Linked DNA regions of Mus musculus: all the other regions are reported to be linked to region 1. The links are microRNA targets in miRTarBase. Many come from high-throughput screens and were not tested one by one. Region 1 holds a microRNA gene; each other region holds the end of a gene's coding sequence.
What was found. Region 1 holds the annotated microRNA mmu-miR-16-5p (UAGCAGCACGUAAAUAUUGGCG, at 2,626-2,647, shown strand). A microRNA usually pairs through its seed, bases 2 to 8, with sites in the 3' UTR of a target mRNA and lowers its output. Matches are read on the target gene's strand: a 7mer-m8 pairs with bases 2 to 8, a 7mer-A1 pairs with bases 2 to 7 and ends in A, and an 8mer does both.

Region 1 (5,916 bases):
GCAGCCTTGCAACTTGAATTTCAAAAATTTCCATGTAAAAAATGAGCAAATTGAAATACATATTCAGTTGTCAGTGATCACCATACCTGACTTGGCCTAAACAATCAGTTTAGTTTTCCTTTCATAGCCATTAAATAAAATTTGGGTATGTTGTTGTTGTTGTTGTTGTTGTTGTTGTTGTTGTTGTTGTTGTTAGAACAATTTCTTTTTCAAATATGTTACATAAGCTCATTTTCCTAGAAAAAAATCACATGGAAATGGAATTTTTAACTATTTAGTAGTATGCCCTACAAATGATTCTGTCACTTTTCACATATCAAATTTTAGAACTAGGAATTTAAAATGTTTAGAGAAGAAACAGTTCCAAAGATTTTATAGTGGCATTATTGCCACATCAAAGATATTAACATACCCAGCTTTTAACTTCCCAAATTTGTTGCAGTATTTCATGCCTTTAGCTTTGCTATTTAAGTAGATTTTTTGTGCCCTGAGAATTGTTGCTCTGTCATCAGAACTTAAACCTGGTAGTGTTTTCTCCATGTTCTTAGACAACTTCATAAGATGGCTATGGTTCAGAAGCGTCCTACAAAGGCTTATATGTATGTTAATGGTTCATTTGCAGATAGGGAACCAGAAAGGGTCAGTGTACTAGAATAACAGCCATGGGAGACACTCAAAGGACAGTGTCAGGGTTCGGACCTCAGATTCTGTATTCTGTCATTGTGCTCCAACAAATTACTGGTTGCTTATTATTAAATTCAAAAAGTATCCCATTATTCTGATGCAGTCAAGATGATGATATAGCTTGGGCAACATGCCTATAAATGTTTGTGAAGTGCTAAGCTTTATGGAAACAAGATGAATTAATATTAGAAGTTTTATAAGGTAAAAAGTAAATGTTTCTAAAGAAAAATATTAATGGAAACAAATAGAGTTGAAGGGGGAAATAGGACAATTTGGTTTGATCTATCTTCTTAAATTGTTGTAAAATTCTGTTTTCTTATACGAATAATATTAATTTCAGGTATTTAAAGATTGCCATGTATTCCTATGTACACTCAAGTTACCTTCTTAAGCAAAACATTTTGTTTTCTTTTCAGAATGGCTTTTTTTTCCTTTTAAGAACATTAGTAAAAAGTTGAACTATGTAAAAACCCAACAAAGAAAAATTATTTTGGTCCTTAGGCCAGAATATAAACCACTGAATTTGGAACGGGGCATGATGGTGCACGCCTTTAATCCTAGCATGCAGGAGGGAAACCAGGCAGATAGATCTCTGAGTTCCAGTCCAGCCTGGTCTATAGAATGAATTGCAGGACAGCAGCCACTGTCCTCAAAACCTCTCTCAAAAAACCACTGAATTTGAAATTATAATCATTGTATAAAGATAAAGGACAAAATCACTTTTAGCAGCTTTTATCTTTATTTTCAGACTTTTTTTTTTTAAGCTGGCACACTTGAAAGCAAAGGTTTGAAGATTTAAAGACGTTTTGATATTTCAAATGACCCAACATGAACGGGAATGGAGAAATGGCATTGACCCACTAGAAAACATTTGCTACACAGTAATCTAGTTTGAATGGAAAATCTGGTATGAACTGGAATAATAAGAACAGTTCTTTGTGAAGGGATGGCTAAGTCCCCCACTAAACAGAAAAGAGTCTTCTTAATAGTGTAAGAAAACCTAGATATTCACACACACATAAAATGAAGTTGGAACTTAACGTAGTAAAAATTTTGTTTCAGCTAAGTCAAAGTCCTGTGGTATAAAATGATACTCCTTTAAAGGACTAGCCTTTTTAACTGGGAAACACACAAATGGTTACTTAGGCTTGAGCTACAGGATTTCTGATATATCCTTTTAGGAAACCAAATAGACCTGTTATCCTAAGATGATGTTCTGGGTAATAATAAATGACACTGAACTCACAATAACTATTCCAATATTGAGATAAATCTTGTGTTCATGTGTAGATTGGGGGTTATATATTTTTGGGGAATATGTTTCATGTGTATGTCTTCTAAATATTTTGCTAGTATAAATTTCTTGAAACTGAGCTCTTACATGTTTGTTCTTACATGTTTCCTTTAACATGAAGCTTTGTCCTATGGATTTGGCTTTGAAAGATGTGCTGCTCTTAATAAGGTAAAAACCAACTTTTGTAGCTATTTCATGTGTTAAGCACATTCAAAAGTTGTTAGTTTAATAAATGAGGTTCTTAAGTTGGTATGGGAAAATGACTTGCTTTTCTCGTTTCATGACTACAATAAATTACAGCACTGTATTAAGTTTTCTGTACGCTTTTATTAAACTTATGATATGGAAATACTTTTTATTCTGCTGAAAGCCTATAAAATTATGCACATACCAGTGTTAGATTTTTTTCAAACATAGATTTTATGTGTTCTACTTTTTCCTAAAAAGCCTTTTCTGTAAATTACTATTGAGGTGCTAGGAGTTTTCAAAACCAACCCTTGGAGTAAAGTAGCAGCACATAATGGTTTGTGGATGTTGAAAAGGTGCAGGCCATACTGTGCTGCCTCAAAATACAAGGACCTGATCTTCTGAAGAGAGTACCTGTCTTTTTATTCATAGCTCCTATGATAGCAATGTCAGCGGTGCCTTAGCAGCACGTAAATATTGGCGTTAAGATTCTGAAATTACCTCCAGTATTGACTGTGCTGCTGAAGTAAGGTTGGCAATACTCTACAACTGTAATTCAATGTGTATTGATGTTACTTGTGTGTTTACACGGTTTTTCTAATTGCATTAGTGATTTTATGTTTGGTATGATTCTGTAATGATGTTAGTAACAACGCTCTACATATTGTGTCTGTTAAAATACTATATAATTGTGGGATGGTAATGCAGCTCAGTTGGCCAAGTGCTTCTTGCTAGCATGCACAAGGCCATGGGTTTTAGCCTTACCACTGCATACCAGGTACACTTGTAATCCTAGATCTGAGGAAGTGGAAAAAAGAGAATTAGAGGCTTAACATCATCCTTGGCCATAAAGCAAGTCTAAGACCTATGTAAGGATCTGTCTTTTAAAAACAAACAAAACATAATGACTTCTGTGTGAGGAACTGATTATAGGACTTCTAGATACCCAGATTTGTAAATGCTTGGATCTCCTGTATAAAATGTCTGCTCGTGACCAGTGCATATCCTCCCTTATACTTATTTAAACTTATCTCTACATTGTTTTTAATGTGTAGTGCAGTGGGATGTTAACATGGATAGTTGTATTATTCAAGTTATTCTCTTAATGATGAGAAAAAAACTGTACAATTCAGTACTAATGCAGTTTTTGTCCAAGAAATAAGTTTTTTGGTTTGGTCTTTTGAGCCTGGGTCTCACCATGTAGACCAGGCTGCCATGAAACTCACTGAGATCCTCTTGCCTCCGCCTCCCAAATTCTTTGTTTAAAACTGTAGGCCCCAATGCCTGGCCACCCAAATGTTTTGAATGTGTGGTTGGTTGGATCCACAGATGGAGCACTGACTAATAATATAACAAGTATTTTTAAGTCTTGAACACCTTTCCAGAGTTTCTTGAGAGCTACAGTGGTACAGAATATACCCAGTACCACCAAGGCTCGAGCTCTCTTTCCAGCATTTCCATATAAAAGTTTATTTGAAAGAGTTTAGGAAGTACCAAATTGTACATGAATTTAAACTCATATTATTACTTATAATAGAAAAATACTTTTCTCTTGATTTGAAGTTTTCTTTAGATACAGATAAAGTTTGAAATGCTACAGATTATAACATAATCTTGAGTATAATGTGCCTAAATATTTCATTTTAAATGAAGGAGAATAACACTAAAATGTGTACGTTGAATTTTTAAACTTAAATTTAGAAGAATCCTTAGAATAGCTGACCTTTTTATTGGTTAACTGAGGAAACAATCTGAAATTTAATTTGCAACCTATGACATATTAGGGTATAAATCCTATATCTTCTAACTTAATAATTACTGTTTTTCTTATTTTTCACTAAAATGTTTAACAGGAGATTTTTATAAGTCAAAAGTATGAAAGACATCTCATCTGTGCCTTAATATTTAACTTCAGATTAAAGCTAACAGTCATTAATTTTATAAATATATTCAGAATATTTTAATTATTTCAAAGGAAATGTTCTTTTTTTTTTTTTTTTTTTTTAAAGATTTATTTATTGATTATATGTAAGTACACTGTAGCTGTCTTCAGACATTCTAGAAGAGGGAGTCAGATCTCGTTACGGATGGTTGTGAGCCACCATGTGGTTGCTGGGAATTGAACTCCGGACCTTCGGAAGAGCAGTCGGGTGCTCTTACCCACTGAGCCATCTCACCAGCCCGGAAATGTTCTTTTAACTATCCCATGTGCTTTATTTTAAATGTTTTACGTCATTATTTTAAAATGTTCAAGAAAACACATTATCTCACAATAATGTCCTCTAACTCTGTCATTACTTTTTACAAGGAGTCTCTTACCTTTTCAGATTAAAGGTTCATAATTAATTCTACCGTGTGTTGTGGAGATCCTAAAAGTATTTCAGTTATTTTTTAAGGAATTGTCCTCAAAAGAACCACTACTCAATTCTAATTTAAAGGTAAAATTAAGTAAGTTTTAACAAGTTGATTTAATTAACTATAGACTCCGTTTTTGGAGCATTTTTTCTGTGTATGAGTACACTGTAGCTATATTGATGGTTGTGAGCCATCATGTGGTTGCTGGGAATTTTGAATTCAGGACCTCTGCTTGCTCCAATTGGCCCACTCACTCCAGCTCTGTAGCTGTCTTCAGACACACCAGAAGAGGGCATCAGATCTCATTACAGATGGTTGTGAGCCACCATGTGGTTGCTAGGATTTGAACTCAGGACATTTGGAAGATCAGTCAGTGCTCTTAGCCACTGAGCCATCTCTCCAGCCCCAAAATTTAAAGCTTTTATATGATAATGGTATTGCCTCTTTTACAAATCTCTGTGGGCCACTGAGGTAAGCATTTGTTACTTAAGCATGATATCTCTTCACAGCAATAGAAAACTCCTTAAGATTACTTTAATTGTATATAACTTTTCCCACTACTTTTCATAGGGAAGAAATCGCCTGTATATATTAAAATATACATTTAAGTGTAAATTTTAAATATATTTTCACTGACTTGGAAATCTAGAGTTCATTTCTATCTTTGTGACTATTTTTGAATCATAAATAGTAGCAAAATTAAAGTTATACACATTTACATTAATAACTAGTTATCTTTCAAGGAAATAATTAGACGTGGATGTTCTCTTGTGATCTAGAGTTTTACACATACAATTTTACAAGTTAACATTCTAATTAAAATTGGTTTGTTTGGTTTTTTTTTTTTCCTTTTGCAAAGGAATATTACTATCCTTGTATGATATATTTTTTCTCAGTGTTGTTTCTCATTAAATACCATCCAAAAAGAAAAGAAAATGTCCTTAATTGTTTTAAATAGATTTGGATCAGCATGTATTTATACATACTACTTACATATCTTGGAGAAGAAATGAAAGACCGTTAATGCATTCCATCTTCCAAGGAGTTAAGGGGTAGCTTAGAATGAGTTTATTTCTAATACCTGGAACCTTTTACTGCACAGCTTATTCGTCCACCAGAAACTGAAGGGGTCATGTTCTTGGCTTGTATGTTTATGAAGTATGTCCTAGGCGCAGTTTCCAAGTCCTCTGTTCCTTTTTCACTTTCTGTTGTTTTGTTTTCCTTTGGTTTTCTTTGTTTTCTTTCAGTGTGTAGTCATTAAACCCAGAACCTCAGAGGGCTCTACTACTAAACCATATACCAGTACCAAAACCGAAAAATATTGACGATACTTTTGTGCTGAATATTCCTCAGCCTTAACTTACTAATGCTTATGCCCAATGGATCTTCCTTCATGA
Region 2 (5,916 bases), not on the chromosome of region 1:
AGCTGCTAAGAGAGATTAATTGCTCATCCAGAGAACCTGAGTTTAGTATCCAGTACACACATTGTGCAGGTCACAACCACCTATAAATCCCACTCCAGAAGGATTTGACCCTCTTGGTTCTGTAGACATCTGCACTTATAAGCACATAATCACACACAGATACACATACTCAAAAATAAACTTTTATAAGATGGATCATTGTGTTGCTTGTGTAGATCGTGCACAGGGCATTTTCTTGAGAGTGAAAAGAGAAATGAAGGGCAGATGAAGTCATCCAGTGGGTGGAAGTGCTTGCTGTCAAACCCGAGGCCCCGAATTTATACCAACAAGCCTAAGGGTGGAAAGAGAGTAATCCACTGGGATTACTGGGTGACATAGAAAAGCGTCTCAAAAACACCAGTAGCGGGCCAGCTGAGATGGCTCAGCAACGGAAGCACTCACTGCCAAGCCTGACAGCCCGAGTTAGATCATGGCAGAGGAGAGACCTGAGTTCCCTAAGTTGTCCTCTCACCTCCACACATGTGCCATGCTGTCCGTGCTCCACCCCTCTCAGTAAATAAACACTGTAATAATGAAAAGGTTTTAATTTTTTTAAAATGGTGGAAAGTAAACAAAAACAACCATAAACCAGCATCCCCAATTAATTATTGCCCCTGAATATTTCCTTGTGAATGTGATTGGAGTGCAGCTGGCGCATCCCCGGGCCACAGGGCTCAAAGCTGAGCTGGGCATCATCACTGAGCCGGAGGGTTACTGCTACATGAAGTGCTGAAGCAGGTCTGAACCAGACAGCGCTCCTCTGGACCAGCATGCACGAATCTAGAGTTAGCCAACCTCATCACTGTTAGAAACTTTGGGGAGATGAAGTTGGAAAGGGTCATCTGTGGTATTGAACAGGCAAGGCAGTGCATGTTTGTAATCCCAGCACTGGAAAGGCAGGGTCAGGGTGACACCATATGATATGCATAGTGTACATCATGTATGATGAAGCCAGATGGAGGTGTCCTGCAGTAAACCAAAGCTCTTGCTGCACTGTCGGGAAGATCTCACGTTACTTTCTTTTAGAGAATTGGTTTCTCTGTACTAACAGGAAGTCTGCATAGTCCAATGCTAGCCTAGCTATAAGGTGAGACCATTTCAAACACAAAACACACACACACACACAAAACAATCTCTCCAAGGCCATGGAGACCAGAAAGTGTCTTTGTTGGGTTTTTGTTTTCTGCAGTGCCAGGAATGGAACCTGGACTTTATGTGTGCTGGACAAGTGCTGTCTATACCACTGAGCTATAATTGCCAGCCCCCAGACTGTACCTCCCATGGTTTTGTACTTGATCCAGTTCCCTGCACCCTTCACCCCTTAGATGCTGCGTTCCTGGCCCGGGAGAAGGCGAAGGCCGACGCTGAGTGCTACACAGCGCTGAAGATCGCAGAAGCAAATAAGGTAAAGGGCGCCTGACCCACCGTCCTGAGGAGGTGTTGCCTCTGCCGCTCGCTACCCAGAGCCCTCACAACAGAACTGAGGACCCTCTGCTGGGTTAGACAGCGCTTCTCTTGTGTGGGAAGCCTTAATAGAAGCTTCATTTTGTATTGAACAGGAAAACTCTGGAAACTGTTGCTACTCTGTCATAGACCTTAGATTATTTTCTCTCAGAAAAAAATGGTTTCTGGGTAACAGGGAGGCCATGAGACATGCAAACACATGTCTGCTTGACAGATGCCCTCCCCAGATGAAGTTCCTCTCTGGTGTCCCCTCCCTAAGCTCTCTTCACTTCCATCACAGCTCAAGCTGACTCCAGAATACCTGCAGCTGATGAAGTACAAGGCCATTGCTTCCAACAGCAAGATTTACTTCGGCAAAGACATCCCCAACATGTTTATGGATTCCGCAGGGGGGCTGGGCAAGCAGTTTGAGGGGCTGAGCGACGACAAGCTGGGCTTTGGCCTAGAAGATGAGCCCCTCGAGGCACCCACAAAGGAGAACTGAGGAAACACTGTCTGCAAGCTCTGCTCGGGCAGCTTAGAGAGAGCTGTATTCTTTAAGATGAGACAGAGCAAAGCGCTCCTCCTTTCCACACTACCTTCCTTGACTCTTCTTACTGTGGTTAAAAAGGAAGAAATGGACACAAACTTACCCCCTTCTGGGAAGGGAGAGCAGATGGAGAGTTGTTTTTTGGGTTTATTTTTAATTCAGGTAAGTAAGTTGTATGACTTCTGAGAAGGTGTATGCACCGTAGATTTGACCTCTGACCTGCAGACACCAACATTGTCACTTTGAAGCTGGTTTAAGTGGAGCTACTGTCAGTATGAAGAGGGAGAGTGTGTGCTGCCTCCTCGTGCTTGAATTCCTTCAGGGAAAAGTGTACTCCACAGTTCTCTCCCTTGCCTCTAGTGTAGGCAGTGTCTGCGTGTGGGGCTCGTGACAGAAGGCCGTCTGCTGCGGAACATGAGCTGCAGAGAGCGTTGGCCGGCTGGGCTTTTTGACTGAGTGGATTACTTGAGAGTTAAGCTGTCTTGAGCCCTTTTTAGGAAGAACTTGGTGCTAGGTTTTGCAAGGTTTTCTACACACTGTACTCTGCTCTAGTGTTTGTTGGCTACATCTCACCGCAGCAGGGCTTGGTCACACCACACACTCCTTTTCCGTACTTTGACCTGATCTGTGATTTCATTTCTTCTTGAATAATCTATTCATGAGTTGCACTCAGCGTTAAGATGGGAACAAACAAGTGCTGTTAGCTGATGACGTAGCTCCTTATACCCCTTAGCACTGTGGTGCTGTGTGGCTAATTATGCGTATGCTTTTGAGACCAAACATCTTTATCATTATGGAGATTCTTCATTGAAGAGCCCTTAACACTGTGGAGAAGGGCCCAGCCAGATGACACCCAAGTAGTAGTGCCTGTGGCCTGTGCTGGGGCTTTGTCTGACACTGATGAAGAGAGCAGGCAGCCACTTGAGAGTCGGCTCCAGTGAGTCACCCTAGGAAACTGAGAATGCGAAGAATAGATATGAGAGAAAGGGATTTCTTATCCTGAAATTGCACTGGGGGTGGGGCTCTACCATGGCCTGTGAGTGCACACAGAATGCCTCTGTGGAGGGCAGCTCTGCAGGTAATCTGCAGACATGGCAGTACCCTGTGCAACCATGACTGGCTCTAGCTTAGGACTTGGCCTTGTTAGCTGGTCCCCTACCTCATCCTCCCCCCACACAAAGCACCTACTGTTCTCTCTTAGGTGACTACTATAAATGGTATTTTCTGGCATCAATTCCCACCTCAGTTTTGGTTTTGTAAGTCGGGCCAGTTTGCTCCTAAGTGGCACCAGACTTGTCAGGTATTTGGGAAGCATTCAGCCGACCCAAAAAGAGGCAGGGTTCACTGTGCTTACTTCAGATGTTCCCTTCTCTGTCCTGACTCCTCAGGCCACTGACCCTGGCCACACTGTACAAACTACAAAATGTTCCTGAAAAGGACATTTTAATGTGCTCAAAAGCTCTTGCAAAAGTGGGTTTTTTTCCCCAAGACCAACTCATCTTCTTCTCATTTGTTGCTGCTAACCACTTGTTGAGAGCAACGTGCTATACCCAGCATCCTCTCTTGTACGTGCACCTGAGAAAACACTACTTCAGTGGAGTCGGTGCAGGAGGGAGGGTACCCCGCCATCCAGCGCCCTCCTAGCCCGAGAGGCTCTGTAACTAGCATTCTGAGAGCTCATCCCTCCATTACAAAGAGCCACAGTAAAGTCCTGCTGCAGCTGCTCCTTCCCTGCCCCTTTAATGTCACTTCTTTAACAGAACAGAAATGTCCCCATGTCATAGCATAAATTCAGTAGCTATTGGTATCTGTCCCAGCAGTAAAATCATGGAACTCAGATGTCTTTTTAGCATGGGATGCCTAGCCCATCTGTCTTTATGACCTTGTTTTTTGTAATACTATAAAATCTGACTTAGGCATTTGAATTCTAAACATGTAAAATGTGATAAGCCTGCAGTTTTGTAGGCAGTGAATTCATAGCTGCTATTTTTAAGTAGAACTTCTATCAAAATACGTTAACCGTTTGTAAAATTCAGTTTTTGTAGGACTTTCCCAAGGCCCAGCCACCTTGGTAGAATGCTTCTCACTCACTAAATGTTGCAGAAGCAATTTATATTCCATATAGGTTTTTAATCACTTTTCAATATATGGTTAGAATGTTTGTAAGGAAGCCTAAGTTTAATAATTTTTATATAACTAAAAATAGGTGTGGAGGACTCAGTGTGGGTACTGAGGAGGAATGAAGTGCTCTGAAAAGGGAGGTGTATAAACGGCCTGTGGGGCCGTGTGTCTTGTGAAAGTGAGATAGCCGTGCTTACTGACCTGGGCTGTCGTCAGCTGGCCGTCGGTAAACTACCTGGACAATAGCCCCTCTGTCTGGGAACTTTACCTACTTCCTTGTCCTCAGTGGGCTTCTAGCCACTGTTTGTTTCCTTATAAAAGCTGTAATGGGCAATCATGTGTTTGTACTTCCATTCCTTTTTATCTCTACTTCTGTGTAAACTGGTGATTGAATAGTTAAAGCAATTTTTTCAGTGTGCCCCAAGGGCATTAATGAGCCTTTATAACTGAGAAATGATTCTTGTTATAGTAATTATTCCATAAATGATACCACTAGATAAATTACCTTGGGTTAATAGCTCCAGGATTTGTTTCAGACAACAAAAAAAGGTCTCAATGTGAATATACTTACATTTTGGATTTAATTTCAGTCTTGCTAAATAAAATGTTTTTGTCTTTTTTTGATTAAGGTAAAATTTACCAGTAGATTGGAGGACAGGTGATAGAAATCAAACTTCCTTCTTAGGCTTTCCCTAAAAATATATCCAGGTAATATAGATTCTTACCAGCATGCTGGTACATGCCTTTAGCTCCAGCACCCGAGGAGAAGGATCTGTTTGAGCCCAGCCTGGTCTGCATAGTGAGACTATGGCAAAAACAAACAGAATTAACACATTGCTGCATTTCTCCAGAAGATAAAGGCATTCCCAGTTGACCCTAACCTCATGTAATATCAGTTTAAGTAGGTAACTCCCAGACTGGCTGTGGCAAGCTGCCTCGCCTAGTGTCACTAGATAAATGTTAATGTCAGTGAACTTTACAAAAACTATATACCATCCAAATGTTTTACAACACCTACTTTTATAGAAGAATTTGCACTTGATCTGAAATTTGCATTTAACTGGATATTTTCTTTTAAATAACAAGTTTGGGATATCTTGGTTTGGGTTTTGGTTTAGTGTATGTAGTATAGGGTATTTTGCTGATGTATGTCTGTATTCCACATGCATACCTGGTGCCTATGGAGGCCAGCTGAGGGCATTGGATTTCCCGGACGGGGCAGTTTTGAGTTGTTCCTTGTTTGCTGGAATCAAGCAGGGTCCTCCTCAAGAGCAGCCAGTGCTCTTAACCTCTGAGCCATCTCCCTCTCCCCCACCCTGCCACAACATAGTTTTCTTGGTTTTTTTTTGGGGGGGGGTTGGTTGGTTGGTTTTGGGGGTTTTTTTGGGGGGGGGGGTGTCGAGACAGGGTTTCTGTGTATAGCCCTGGCTGTCCTGGAACTCACTCTGTAGACCAGGCTGGTTTTGAACTCAGAAATCCTCCTGCCTCTGCCTCCCGAGTGCTGGGATTAAAGGCGTGCGCTTCCCACCATGTTTTTCATTGTTGTTTTCTTATGTTTTTCTTACACTGTGCTTCCTTTCTTTTTGAAAATGGTTCTTTCACAATTTGCACTTTGACCATAACCCCCACACACACATTAGCATCTTAATCCCTTACCCTCCCATCAAACTTTTCTTCCCATCAAGCCCCCTTCTTACTTAAAAAAAAAAATTCACTAAAACTGAGTTTACTTAATGAATTATGTTATTTTTCTTTACTATTTA
Region 3 (5,679 bases), not on the chromosome of region 1:
TTACCCAGCGCATCACAGTCTCCCCGTGGGTAGCCAGTAGCCATTCATGAAGCCAGGAGACTATGGTTGGAGTAACTGGTTCAAGATGGCAGTAGAAGCATCTTTGGGGCCCTAATTCATTTATTGGCTAATTGCTCTTCCTTGCTTTGGTCTTTAACCATGTGCGAACATTTCTTGTCATCGGTCTTTGGTGTTCACTGTTAATTCGGTAGTCAGCAGCTCTCCAGCTTTCTGCATTTTAGCCCCACTCACGCCTTCTTCTCTGGTCATAATCACTGCTCTAATGTCTCGTTTGCTGAATTACATCGCAGCGGCTCAGTTGGAGTGGTTACCTTTGGAGCCCGGATTCCCATCTGTCTCACCCACCCTGCTCTCTTCTTCCTATTGTTTTTTCCCCCCTCTGCTGCCTGCACACCACTTCGGCTGATGATGGCCATAAAGCAACTTGCCATCTCTGTACCACTTCTCACAGAGGCCACCAGAGAGTCACAGTGCTTTACCCCTTCATCTTTCAGGTACATACTTCACTCATGAAGCCAAAGGAGCCGATGACGCAGCAGACGCAGACACAGCTATAATCAATGCAGAAGGAGGACAGAACAACTCCGAAGAAAAGAAAGAGTACTTCATCTAGATCAGCCTTTTTGTTCCAATGAGGTGTCCAACTGGCCTGTTTAGATGATAAAGAGACAGTGATACTGGAACTTTCGAGAAGCTCGTGTGGTTTTTTGTTTTGTTTTGTTTTTTTATGAGTGGGTGGAGAGATGCGAGACTGGGAAGGCTTGGGATTTGCAATGTACAAACAAAAACAAAGAATGTTCTTTGAAAGTACACTCTGCTGTTTGACACCTCTTTTTAATCTGGTTTTAATTTGCTTTGGGTTTTGGGTTTTTTTGGTTTTTTGTTTTTTTCATTTATATTTCTTCCTACCAAGTCAAACTTGGGTACTTGGATTTGGTTTCGGTAGATTGCAGAAAATTCTGTGCCTTGTTTTTCATTCGTTTGTTGTGTTTCTTCCCTCTTGCCCATTTATTTTTCCCAAAATCAAATTTGTTTTTTTCCCCCTCCCAAACCTCCCATTTTTTGGAATTGACCTGCTGGAATTCCTAAGACTTTCTCCCTGTTGCCAGTTTCTTTTATTTGTGTTAACGGTGACTGCTTTCTGTTCCAAATTCAGTTTCATAAAAGGAAAACCAGCACAATTTAGATTTCATAGTTCAGAATTTAGTGTCTCCATGATGCATCCTTCTCTGTTGTTGTAAAGATTTGGGTGAAGAAAAAAAAAAAAAAAGAAAAAAAAAAGAAAAAAAAAAGAAAACACTGAAAACTCTTTGCTGCTGCCCATGTCTTAAATACGTAGAGCAGCGAAGACTAGAAACGTAGACTGTGACCCAGACGCTGTCGTCTGCTGTGGATCTTCATTACTGTACAGGGTTATCTGCAAGTGAGGTGTGTCGCAATGAGATTGAATCTGTCGTTAATTCTTTATCTGTAGGCGGCTCAGTATAGATTACCCCACGCTGTGCAGAAAGTTTTTGGAGTGGAAAGGTCTCCTCCTTCCTCGTTGCCCTAAACAGACCCGACATGTGAGGTCTGTCTGTTTTATGTAAGTGGACAAATTTGAGATGTCACAGGAGGGGAAGCAGGGAGGGGGTACGACAGTTCTGCTCTGATTATTTCTACTCTCAACAATTCCATCCACCTTTCCCAATTGGCCTTACTGCTCACTAATGCAGGAGAGAGCAAGTCCGTGTGCCGTGTGACTGACTGGAGGGGACAGGCTTTGTTTAGGTTTTTTTTACCCCCACTTTGGTTTTGGTTCTGGGTTGTTTTGCTTTGTTTTGTTTTCCTTTGTTCTTATTAAGGACGGCAGTGGGCTGTGTCCTGTGTGTACTGTATGTTACAGACACCGTCCTGCTGGGACACTTGTCCTGCTGGGATTCCCAGCTCCCACCCCCAACTCCTCTCATTCCTTCAGATTTGGCTTGACAAAGGCAGGAGGTACAAAAGAAGGGCCAATTTTGTTCTGGAAAGGTCAGAGCCCAGAGTCGAGGTGGGAAAGTGGCATATAGGGATTTCCAGTTACTTAATCAAAACTCAAAATGTGAGTGTTTCTGTCTTTCGTGCACTAGGCCTGGCCTCTTACCTCAGCCTTAAGAACCATCTGCCAAAAACTACTCATCTCGCATGATGGCAGCCAGAGCGCATAGCTACTAAAATAAGTTTCCGTGAACATATCTTACACCGGAGCCTGAGGAAAGATAGAGGCGCAAAGGAACCCTTTGCATTCTCTAAAGCTAAGTGGGGGTTTGCAGAAGTGCTGGGGTCATCTAGCAGTAGTTCTGAAGGACAGAACCTAAACTCTTACCACACGTGTCGGTAAGCTCCAGACTCCAAAACAGCCCCTCTGGAAAGATGGCATCAGAAAAGATAGATCTATCTATATATATAAATATATAAATATATATTATATATAACATTTTCAGTCAGTACTTTTGGATTTTGCAAGGTGCATTTTTACTATTGTTACATTATGTGGAAAACCTACGCTGATTTATTTAAGGGGAAAAAAGTGTCGACTCTGTTCTTTGAAAGCGTATTTCTTTTTCTTGTCTTTATTTTAACTTCTGATAGAACCACTGCAATATGGGGGCCTTTTGGGAACGGACTGGTTTGTAAAGGAAAATTCATTATGGAGCAGTGTTTTGTTAACCCCTCTCCTGCCCCTAGGCACTTAACCAAGACAAAAAGCCACAAGGAACATCCCTTTTTCAAAAATTTTATAATGTGCATCTATTCCGAGCCCTTAGCACCCATCCTGACCATAGTGACCATATCAAAGGGTGACAACCAGTTAGCATGTCGTTGAAAGGGTTTTTCAGCTGTTCTTTTTAGAAAAAAAATATATATAAAAAATATTTAAAAAAAAACAAAAAACAAACAAACACAAAAAAACTACCATTGTTCACAGAATTGGCATCTCATTTTCGGGACCGCCCATCTTTCTGTTTTGACAAGTGTACAGTAGTGCAGTGTTCTGATGTAACTTTATGGCTTACAATGTTGACATGTCTCAGGTTCCTGTGTTTCAATTGGTGTTTTTCCGTCTCAGGTAGATTGCAAAGTGTAGGCCCCACACATTGGAAAAATAATAATAATAATAAATAATAATAATAATAATAATAATAAAACAAAGCAAAAACAGGAAATTATGGATTTTAGTTGTATATTGGTTTATGTATTTTTCTTAAGTATACAGTGCACTGTTTGAAATGTATTGTTGAGTATTACTTTGTACAGGTTGATCACTTTTTTTAGAGTGAAGAAAGAACAAACTTGGGTTTTTTTTGTGTTTTTTTTAAAGGAGTATAAAATAATGAAGGATGTATAATTGATGCCAAATAAGCTTGTTCTTTAGTCACGATGACGTCTTGTTTTTCCCTCTAGGCCAGTTCTGTTTCTAAGGTGTACAAGGACCATGTTACAGTGTAAGAAACTCCACATCCGTGTGTTCCCATTCGCATTTTGTATCGGTTCATGTATACCATTTTTACAAAAAGAAAAAAGAAAAAAAAAGAAGTACTATAAAATATCTGTCTTCTTAATAAAAAAATTAATGTTACAAGTGATCCTTTAAATCTCTTTCTGGATTCTTAAAACACACGGCCTCTGGTCCCAGCTTCCTCTCCTAGGACCTTGTGTGGGGCCCAGAGCACTGGTGGCTGGGAAGTGGCTGCGAGCTGGGTCTCTCTCTCTCTATCTATCTCTATCTCTTTCTCCTTCTCACCCTTATCCTATCCTCTTCCACCCTCAGAGTAGACAGGAGAATCCGGTGTTCGGCTGAACAGAGTTGCCTGCAGTAGGCGCGGTGCTTTGTGCAGGTGTGCGAAGCACAGTTGCCCGGGAAGGCGCCTCCTGTGGATATGGCCACCACCACCCTCCCCGCCTCCACCCACCACCCACTCACTTCCCTGTTTTGCCTGCTCCACCCGCCTTTTTCTTTGGGAGTCCGAGTCTTAACAATTCATACTGCCTTCTTCCTTTTAAAGTTCTCTCCTTTTACAAAATGAAGAGATGCGCTGCTGGGTCGGCTGCCTGCGGATTGCTCTCACTTACCGTTTAGGTCTTGGAGACTTCAGGCCCGGGTAGACTTGGAGAGCCAGCAGCATGGAATCACCATCCTTGCCTTGCAGGCGAAGTTAGCAATGACCACACTTGTTGTCCACGAGCACAAACCTGGCCACCCCTAAGTGCCCTTTCTCACCGTTCACCCAGCTCTCGCTGAGTCCCCCCTCTGTCTGTCAGGTAACCAGGAAGGTGTGGCAGGGAGAGACAAGGTAAGCTCCAGGAAAGACAAAGGCCGGGCATCTCATTTGGGGTTTTTAACATCATGGTCTGGTCTCTGGTCTGTCTCTCGAGCAAAACATCACCAACAGAATCAGTTATGCAGTCACTAAATGTCTGGCACATCGACACTGTGGGGCTGTGGGGGACACCGATATCTGTAAGTGGCCACAAGAGACTAAGGTACCAGTTACCTCAGTGAAGTGACCTCGGTGGTAATTGCCACACCCCGGGCAATAATACAGACCAGTAGGGATTTCTTGGGGAAGGGGGATAAACAGAAGCTGGCAAGCCTGCTCAGTGGAAGAGGCAGGAGCCTGGTCAGGTTTCCAAGGACATTAGAGAAGAAAAGTGACTTAGGTGCAGAAGGCAGTGCACCCAGGCAGCAGGTGGCCATGTGAGGAGTGACACGCTCATGAATGGCGTCCATCCTGTGCCCATCCTCATAGTCTAGGCAGAACTAAGGGAATCCATTGGCCTCTCCGGCTTTTGCCAGAGAGCAAAGATGAACAGGGAAGATGATCTACCATATCTCTATAGGACAAGGGCAACTTAGGATAGCACTTGAGAGCCAAAGTAGACCCATCTTGGTTTTAGATAACTGCCCCACCTTTACTAGCAGTGAAGCCTCCGGCATGTTACCCAAGGCACCTGATCTTTGTCTTTTGTTGGGTGAGGCAAGATTATACGTTATAACCTCAGAGATCATTAGAGGACAGAGAATAGATAGATACACAGTCCTGGGCTGGGAGTTCAAATTAGTGACAAAGCAAGCATGAGGTCTTGAGTTCCATCGTCAGCACACCAGAACGATGATAAACTGGTGCTTAGGCAGTATAGGTGCAGATAGGAAGTAAGCACTCATTACATGTTGATTTAGAAGGACAAGGTTGCCTGTGGCTATAAGAACTGGCCACTCCTTGGAGAAAACTATCTGTGTGGACTCTTCATGCCTTTGTGAATTTTTGCATAGACTATTTAAGGACTTCCTCATCATGGTTCATCAATATACTTATTTGTAGTTACTCTGAGCCACATGGCATGCTGTACGTGCGATATCCTTACCCATCTCCTTGCCTATAACATGAGGTTCCAGGTTCAACCTCAGCCCACAGAGCAGCGACCCTGCTGGTCATCAAACTGAGGCAAATATTGGGTGGTAGCTTGGCTCTTGAAGCACAGTAGGGCATGCAAATGAGAAGGAGCCTCAAGCCACTGAGTTACTACACAGTGGATATGTTTCCTGGGTCCCTCTTAGTATAACACAAAAAATATAGTCCTTGCTTCCTCTAGAGGACTCTCGAAAATGTTTGGCCTGATTGTGTTCTCCAAATA
Region 4 (5,916 bases), not on the chromosome of region 1:
CCCGGCAGGGAAGATGCTCAGCAGGTGAAAACTGCATCTTTCACAGCACACACCCACACAATTAAAATTAATAAATTAAATAGAAGACACACATAATAGCATTCCTACCCTTTTATTCTTTTTTCCAAAACACACCACAGGATTACCAGACAGATTTGTCCCCCACATTCCAACAGACAGCTCCTTCATGAGCCAGAAGTGTGAGACTCTCTCCATGTTGAGGAGGGCACCTCATCCATTCACCAACGTTTGAAACCTGCTCGTCTTTCAAGGGCAATGCCAAGATTGTGTAGCTGCAATTCCAGCATGGAGGACTGACATTTCCCAGAGTTCCTGCGCCCAGGCTCTTTCAGACCCGAGGTGCCTCATGGGAGCACCCTGCTGGCAGCAGGTGGCCTGTGACGAGGGAGACTGAACCTTTCCTATTTGGAGGCTTCCAGGGGCCTGGCTATCTGCTTTGCTTACATTCTGGAAAAGCCTGAAAATCCTAACAAAAGATTGTATGGGCAACATATGTAGTCATTTACACCTGTAATCCCAGCTCTTTAGACGCCCAGAGCTGTAGAGTAAGGCCCTATCTCAGGGGTGGGGGTGGGAGATCATAGTTTAAAAGGCAGCCACCTCTACCTGTAACCCAGGACAAGGAGAGGCTAGGACCGGAGAAGCACCTGGCGCCAAGTGTTTGAGACAGCCTGGATCCTCTATCTCAAGTAACAGAACAAAAATGGGCAAGGAATCACAAAACACAAAAGTGCCCTGTACAAGTTTATGGAGCTGACCAGGACACACACAATGGCTACAATATGCTCCTTCGATGCATCTAGCATGGGCCTCCTGCCTCAAGAAGGGAGAGCAGCAAAGCACAGGACGGGGATGCCAGGTGGCACCAAAGCAAGCCACAGTGAGAGCAGGGCATCATGCCACGTGCCTGACCCTGGCACTGGAGAGATGCAGGCAGGAGGATCAGGATTTCAAGGCCATCACCAGCTACATGCCGAGGTGAAGGCAAGCCTAAGCTATGTCAAAATACCAGAAAAGACATGGAGGGTTTAGAGAGCTCAGGACACTTAATAGGAGACCGAGTTTGGCTGTTACTGTAGCCAGACCAAGGGAAGTGGGGCCCAGGCAGTAGAGGAGTAGCATTTGAGTGTCAAGCTTCTCAGAGGGGGCTGCAGTACCTGGGAGCTGGGTATGTGTGTGAGCACATTCACATGCCAGTGTGTGCATGCTTAGCCACACATGTGCACATGTAACAGAGCAAGTTCTTAGATGCCTGCTGTGATGGTTAATATTAACTGACAGAATTTACGTTCACCCTGGACATGGCTGTGGAGGAGTGCCTAGACTATGTTAAATGAGGCGAGGAAACCTACTGTTTGAAACACTATTCCATAGCGCTGTGGTCCTGGGGTGAAACAAAGATTTCTCAGCTTCCCAAATGTGGTTGCAATGTCTCACTTTCATGCTGTTATGATTTTTCACAATAGACTGTATTGTTGAACTATGATCCAAGTATGTGGATAAAGCCACCGAGGGGGGGGGGAAATCCATCTCAGATTCTATTTGTACTTGACCCACTGGAACATCACAGGTTCAGGGAAAACTACTAAGCCAGGAGGTGAGGCAGGCCTGTGATCCCAGTTACTTGGGAGGCTGAGGGGTTAGGATCCCAAATTCCAAGGCCTGTCTGGAATAAAGTGAGTTCAAGGACAGCCCAAGCAACTTAGTGAGACCTTGTCTTGAAATATGATGTAGCTCAGTGGTGGAGCCCCTGCCTAGAATCCCCCAGTGAGGGGCTGGGGGCGTGGCTCAGTGGTAGAGCCCCTGCCTAGAATCCCCCAGTGAGGGGCTGGGGGCGTGGCTCAGTGGTAGAGCCCCTGCCCAGAACCCTACCTGCAGCCCAGCACAGGGCTAGGTACATGGTTCCAGCAGAGTGTTTGCCTTTAATATGTGAGGCACTGATCAAAACCCCATGATTGGGGGGAACTTATCGATATAATTGAAACACGGGTATGTGAATTGGGCCCTCCATTGATCAGTTCAAGTATTTCCAATTAGGTGTATTGTGTGATGAGGTGTGCTTGGGTGTAGGAACACATTGGTTCTGATGATTTAGTGAAAAGAGTGTCAGGCTGATCTAGGATGGTTTAGAGTCATAATCCCGGCACTGGGGAGGCTGAGGCAGGGCCAAAGCTGGCCAACCCAAGCATCAAGGACTTAGTATCAGGCTGGCTCCAGACCGTGTGGAGTTCAAGGCCCGTCTAGACTCTAGTGGGAACAGGCGCATAGCTTACAGGCCTGCAATCCTCTCTCACCGAAGACTGCCTTAAATTTCAAATTCTCCTGTGTCAACCGGAGGTGCGGGGATTACAGGCATGAACGCCCGAATAAGGTGCCTCCTCGTAGGGCGGATGGTGTCAGAGGTGAGAGTTCAGGGTTAGATGGGAGCAAAGCCCAGCTGTGCAGGCTTCTGATTAGCCCTCAGAAGCTCTTATGGGTCTAGCCCAGTCCTTTCATCGACCAGGTGAAAATACATGGCCCTCGTTCATGTAGTGACAGCGGCCAAGCTGCTGCTACCGTTCGCTCTCCCACCAGGTGCTTGCTTCTCTCCCTCTTTGTAACAAGATTATGACAACCTGAATTCCAGGCCATGTGCCAGTGACCAGTAAACTAAGAAAATAAATACTAGGCACCTACTGTGTGTCAGGCACTGCTCTGGGTGCTAGGGTACACCCAAGAGAAAGACAAGCAAGGAGCAAGAGCCAACGAACAGGCAAGTGAGAGAATGAGAATACAGCCATTGGTAGTAATGTTCACTACAGGGACTACCATGTGGCAGGATCAATGCAAGCTACTTTGGGTGACCATAGAGCCATTTCGGGGAGACCTGACAGATGAGGACCCTATCTCAAAAAAAGACAGGGAGGCAGAGTGTCCCACAGAAAACCAGAAAATGCATAAGTCCTGAGGTGGGACCTTGGCATCAGGCTTGCTGGAGATGGGCTGAAAATGGAGAAGAGGCAGGGCCAGGCCACACACTGTCCCGCTGTGTTGATGAGCCTTTGGCCTGCATCTCTGAACCCCGTGGTCCTACCTGCACAAAGCTACAAAACTGACAGCGATGTGGTTTCTGCCTATGCCTCCCTCCAGGCACTTTCCCACGGCATCAAAGGCCTACCTAGCTATCCTGAGGGGGACCCCCTACACACACACACACACACACACACACACACACACACACACACACAGCAGCAGCATCCTATGTGGACCAGCAGCAGGTGTCTTGGGAGAAATCAGAAGAGGTCATGCAGAAAAACCACATAGACTGCTACAGCAGGAGCCCATCACTTTGAGGCCCTGCAGTTAAGGTCCATATGACAGAAGAAACCAGTAATAAAGAGAAACAGGAGCGTGCATGCCAGAGACCCTGAATCACCCAGCACCTATAAAATGGGGGTAGTCACACCTTCCCAGTAAAGCTCGGAGAGGCAGCTGCCAGGATCCCACGGGAAGTATTTCCAAGTGTGGGTTTCTAATCTTCCATACCCTAAAGACCCCATTCCTAGGCTCTAGCTGTCAGAAGACAACCTTACCCACACACTCCCTTGTCCCTTCCCTTCAATGTTGTGGATCATTATCGTCCACACCAAAGCTTTGGAGAGCAAATGACTGACAATCTTCTGCACTCCAAGAGACTAAAGGGTCTCCAGCAGGCCCCTGGTCTCCACAGGGCTTCCTGCCACCTAAGAAATGGCAACCACAGCCTTCTTAGGAACCAGACTTTTCCTAAGGCTCTCACAGCTCCCACAAAAATCTGTTCTTTCATCAGGTAACTTATACTTCTTTCCTTTTGGGAGCCAGCACTCCAAGGCTTCTATCTCCCCGCAGTTTCGCTCACAGGCAGGCAGGGATCAAGGCTTCTAGAGATCCATGACCAGGTGTCAGCGGGACGCCAAGAAGCTCCCATTTCTACTGAGTCCCAGGCCCTCAACTCCCTTTACTGCATTGGTATCTGGATGACACACTTCTGGCGCATAGACCCTACTCCCATTCAGTACCTAGGAAATCGGGTGACTGTAAATCTCACGTTTCAACGAGATGTCAGTCTCCTTCAAGTCTCCGGGTTTGAATAACAAAACGTCACTTCTTAATCTCAGAGGCTGTGGGGCCAAAACCAGTCACCAGACACCCCAAGCCCCACCGCACACCTCATTGGTTGGGCTCTGGGGGTCCCAGCACCGCCTCCGCATCAGCCAGCATCTCATCTAAGGCTTGTAGAAGTACACCGTGCGCAGCACGGTAACCCAGCCCACCTGTTGCCGCAGCACCACCCGTGGGCCATAGGAAGGAGAGCGCGCTCAACGCTGCACCTCCCGCCGTGCCCTCACCTGCCCAGGACCCCAGCCTGGCCTCTACCTCGGCTCGCGTCACCGGGCCCGGGAAGCGCGTGCGCGTTGCCAGTACTCCGGGAGCCAGGCCCAAGGCGCGCTCACGTCGTGCTACGGCCGCGGGTTCGAGGCCTAGCGCGCGCCTCCACTCGGCCAGCTGTCCCCGGAGAAGCGCCACATCGCAAGCCCAGCCCAGCCCTGGTACTGGGGCGGCGGCCGCCGCCAGGCTAGCCAACAGGGCTGGCCTCCACGCCCCTGCCCGTAGCGCAGCCGCCTTCCTCCGCGCCGCCCGGGGACTTGCAGGTGGCAGCGCCAGCAGCAGAGCTCCGGCCTGAGCTGTGGGCAGTGCGTGCTGGAGCCAGGTTCCGAGGCCTGGGAGACCGCCGGGCCGCATCGGGAACACGGGCGGAGGCGCCTCCTCCAGCACCTCCCATAGCTCATCCTCCGGGCTCCGAGCGGCAGTGCACCCCGAGTCCCCGATGCCAGCTTTCTTTCCTTCGCTGCGTGCATCCCCTGAGTTCCCATCACTTGCATTCTGGGCCTTTTCTTCTTCCAGAACCTCGGGTGGATCTTCGCCCTGGCCGTCCGTGCGCACACCGACGAGTGGAGCATCTGGGGACACCAATGAGCGGACCTGGGCCCAGTTCTCCTCTGTGGGAGCCCCGGGGGTGACAAGGATCAGGGCATCGTAGTGGGTTGGGTGAGGGGTGACGGCAGGAGATGTGGCCGTGGGGCCCAGGGGAACGGTCCAGAGCACTACGTTGGGGCGCTCTGGAGCAGGATAAGGGGTGGGCCCAGTGGGTGCTGAGGCAGGCGCAGCACCTGGGTCTCCAGGATCCAACCCCAGCAGCATATCTAGCACAAGGCCTACATTGGTGGTGCCGGCCACCGCCAAGTCCAGTCGTGCGCTGCCCAGGCGCTCCAGACCAGCGCGCACCCACGACAGCGCCGCCTCCAGGCCACCGGTCTCGAAGGCCTCACGAACAGCTTCCAGCTCGGCTGCGCCCAACACCTCGAAGCCATCCTGGGCAGGAGGCAGGAGCCTGCAGGAGAGAGGGTGGGAGATCGGTCAAAGGCAACAGAGCTTTAAAAGTAGGAAAAGCTGGGCTGAACGAGCAATTACGGGAAAAAAAAAAATCTTTCTGAATCTCAAGAATTTAAGTAGGGAACTAATGCACATAGAAAGAAGGCACGGCCGGGCGTGGTGGCGCACGCCTTTAATCTCTGCAATCTCTGCACAAGTGGCAGAGGCAGGCAGATCTCTGAGTTCAAGGCCAGCCTGATCTACATAGCCAATTCCAGGACAGCTGGAAATACAGAGAAACACCCGTCTCAAAAAAAAAAAAAAAAAAAAAGAAAGAAAGAAAAAAAAAGAAAAAGGAAAAAAAGAAAGAAAGATAGAAAGAAAAAAAAAAAAACCAGGTGAGGCGGGACCATAAAGTTAAGAGAGTTCAGGGAAGAGCTTAAGTCCCCTAGAGGTCCCGCGGGTAAACTAACCTAAGGTCAGGTTTCCAACCGAAACTACGAT

Region 2: miRTarBase lists Erlin2 as a target of mmu-miR-16-5p. Seed matches in the 3' UTR shown: 8mer at 3,547-3,554 and 7mer-A1 at 4,012-4,018.
Region 3: miRTarBase lists Cadm1 as a target of mmu-miR-16-5p. Seed matches in the 3' UTR shown: 7mer-m8 at 1,333-1,339.
Region 4: the mRNA of Irgq is a reported target of mmu-miR-16-5p. Seed matches in the 3' UTR shown: 7mer-m8 at 3,271-3,277, 7mer-m8 at 3,251-3,257, 7mer-m8 at 3,248-3,254 and 7mer-m8 at 852-858.

Annotation. Positions count from the first base shown.
Region 1 is chr14:61,628,667-61,634,582 of GRCm38, reverse strand. It overlaps Mir16-1 (microRNA 16-1), which reads left to right and starts at 2,611; the gene lies at 2,611-2,703. It overlaps Dleu2 (deleted in lymphocytic leukemia, 2), which reads left to right. Exons shown (of 7, transcript NR_028264.1): 4 at 2,100-2,146. Mir15a (microRNA 15a) reads left to right here and starts at 2,473; the gene lies at 2,473-2,556.
Region 2 is chr8:27,034,650-27,040,565 of GRCm38, forward strand. Erlin2 (ER lipid raft associated 2) reads left to right here. Exons shown (of 12, transcript NM_153592.3): 11 at 1,365-1,444; 12 at 1,784-4,788. The coding sequence ends at 1,987. Among named protein-coding and RNA genes, the nearest start is that of Plpbp, 4.9 kb to the right of the region's middle.
Region 3 is chr9:47,849,757-47,855,435 of GRCm38, forward strand. It overlaps Cadm1 (cell adhesion molecule 1), which reads left to right. Exons shown (of 11, transcript NM_207675.2): 11 at 516-3,629. The coding sequence ends at 634. Among named protein-coding and RNA genes, the nearest start is that of Gm10677, 34 kb to the left of the region's middle.
Region 4 is chr7:24,532,781-24,538,696 of GRCm38, reverse strand. It overlaps Irgq (immunity-related GTPase family, Q), which reads right to left. Exons shown (of 3, transcript NM_153134.3): 3 at 97-5,431. The coding sequence ends at 4,210. Among named protein-coding and RNA genes, the nearest start is that of Irgq, 5.1 kb to the right of the region's middle.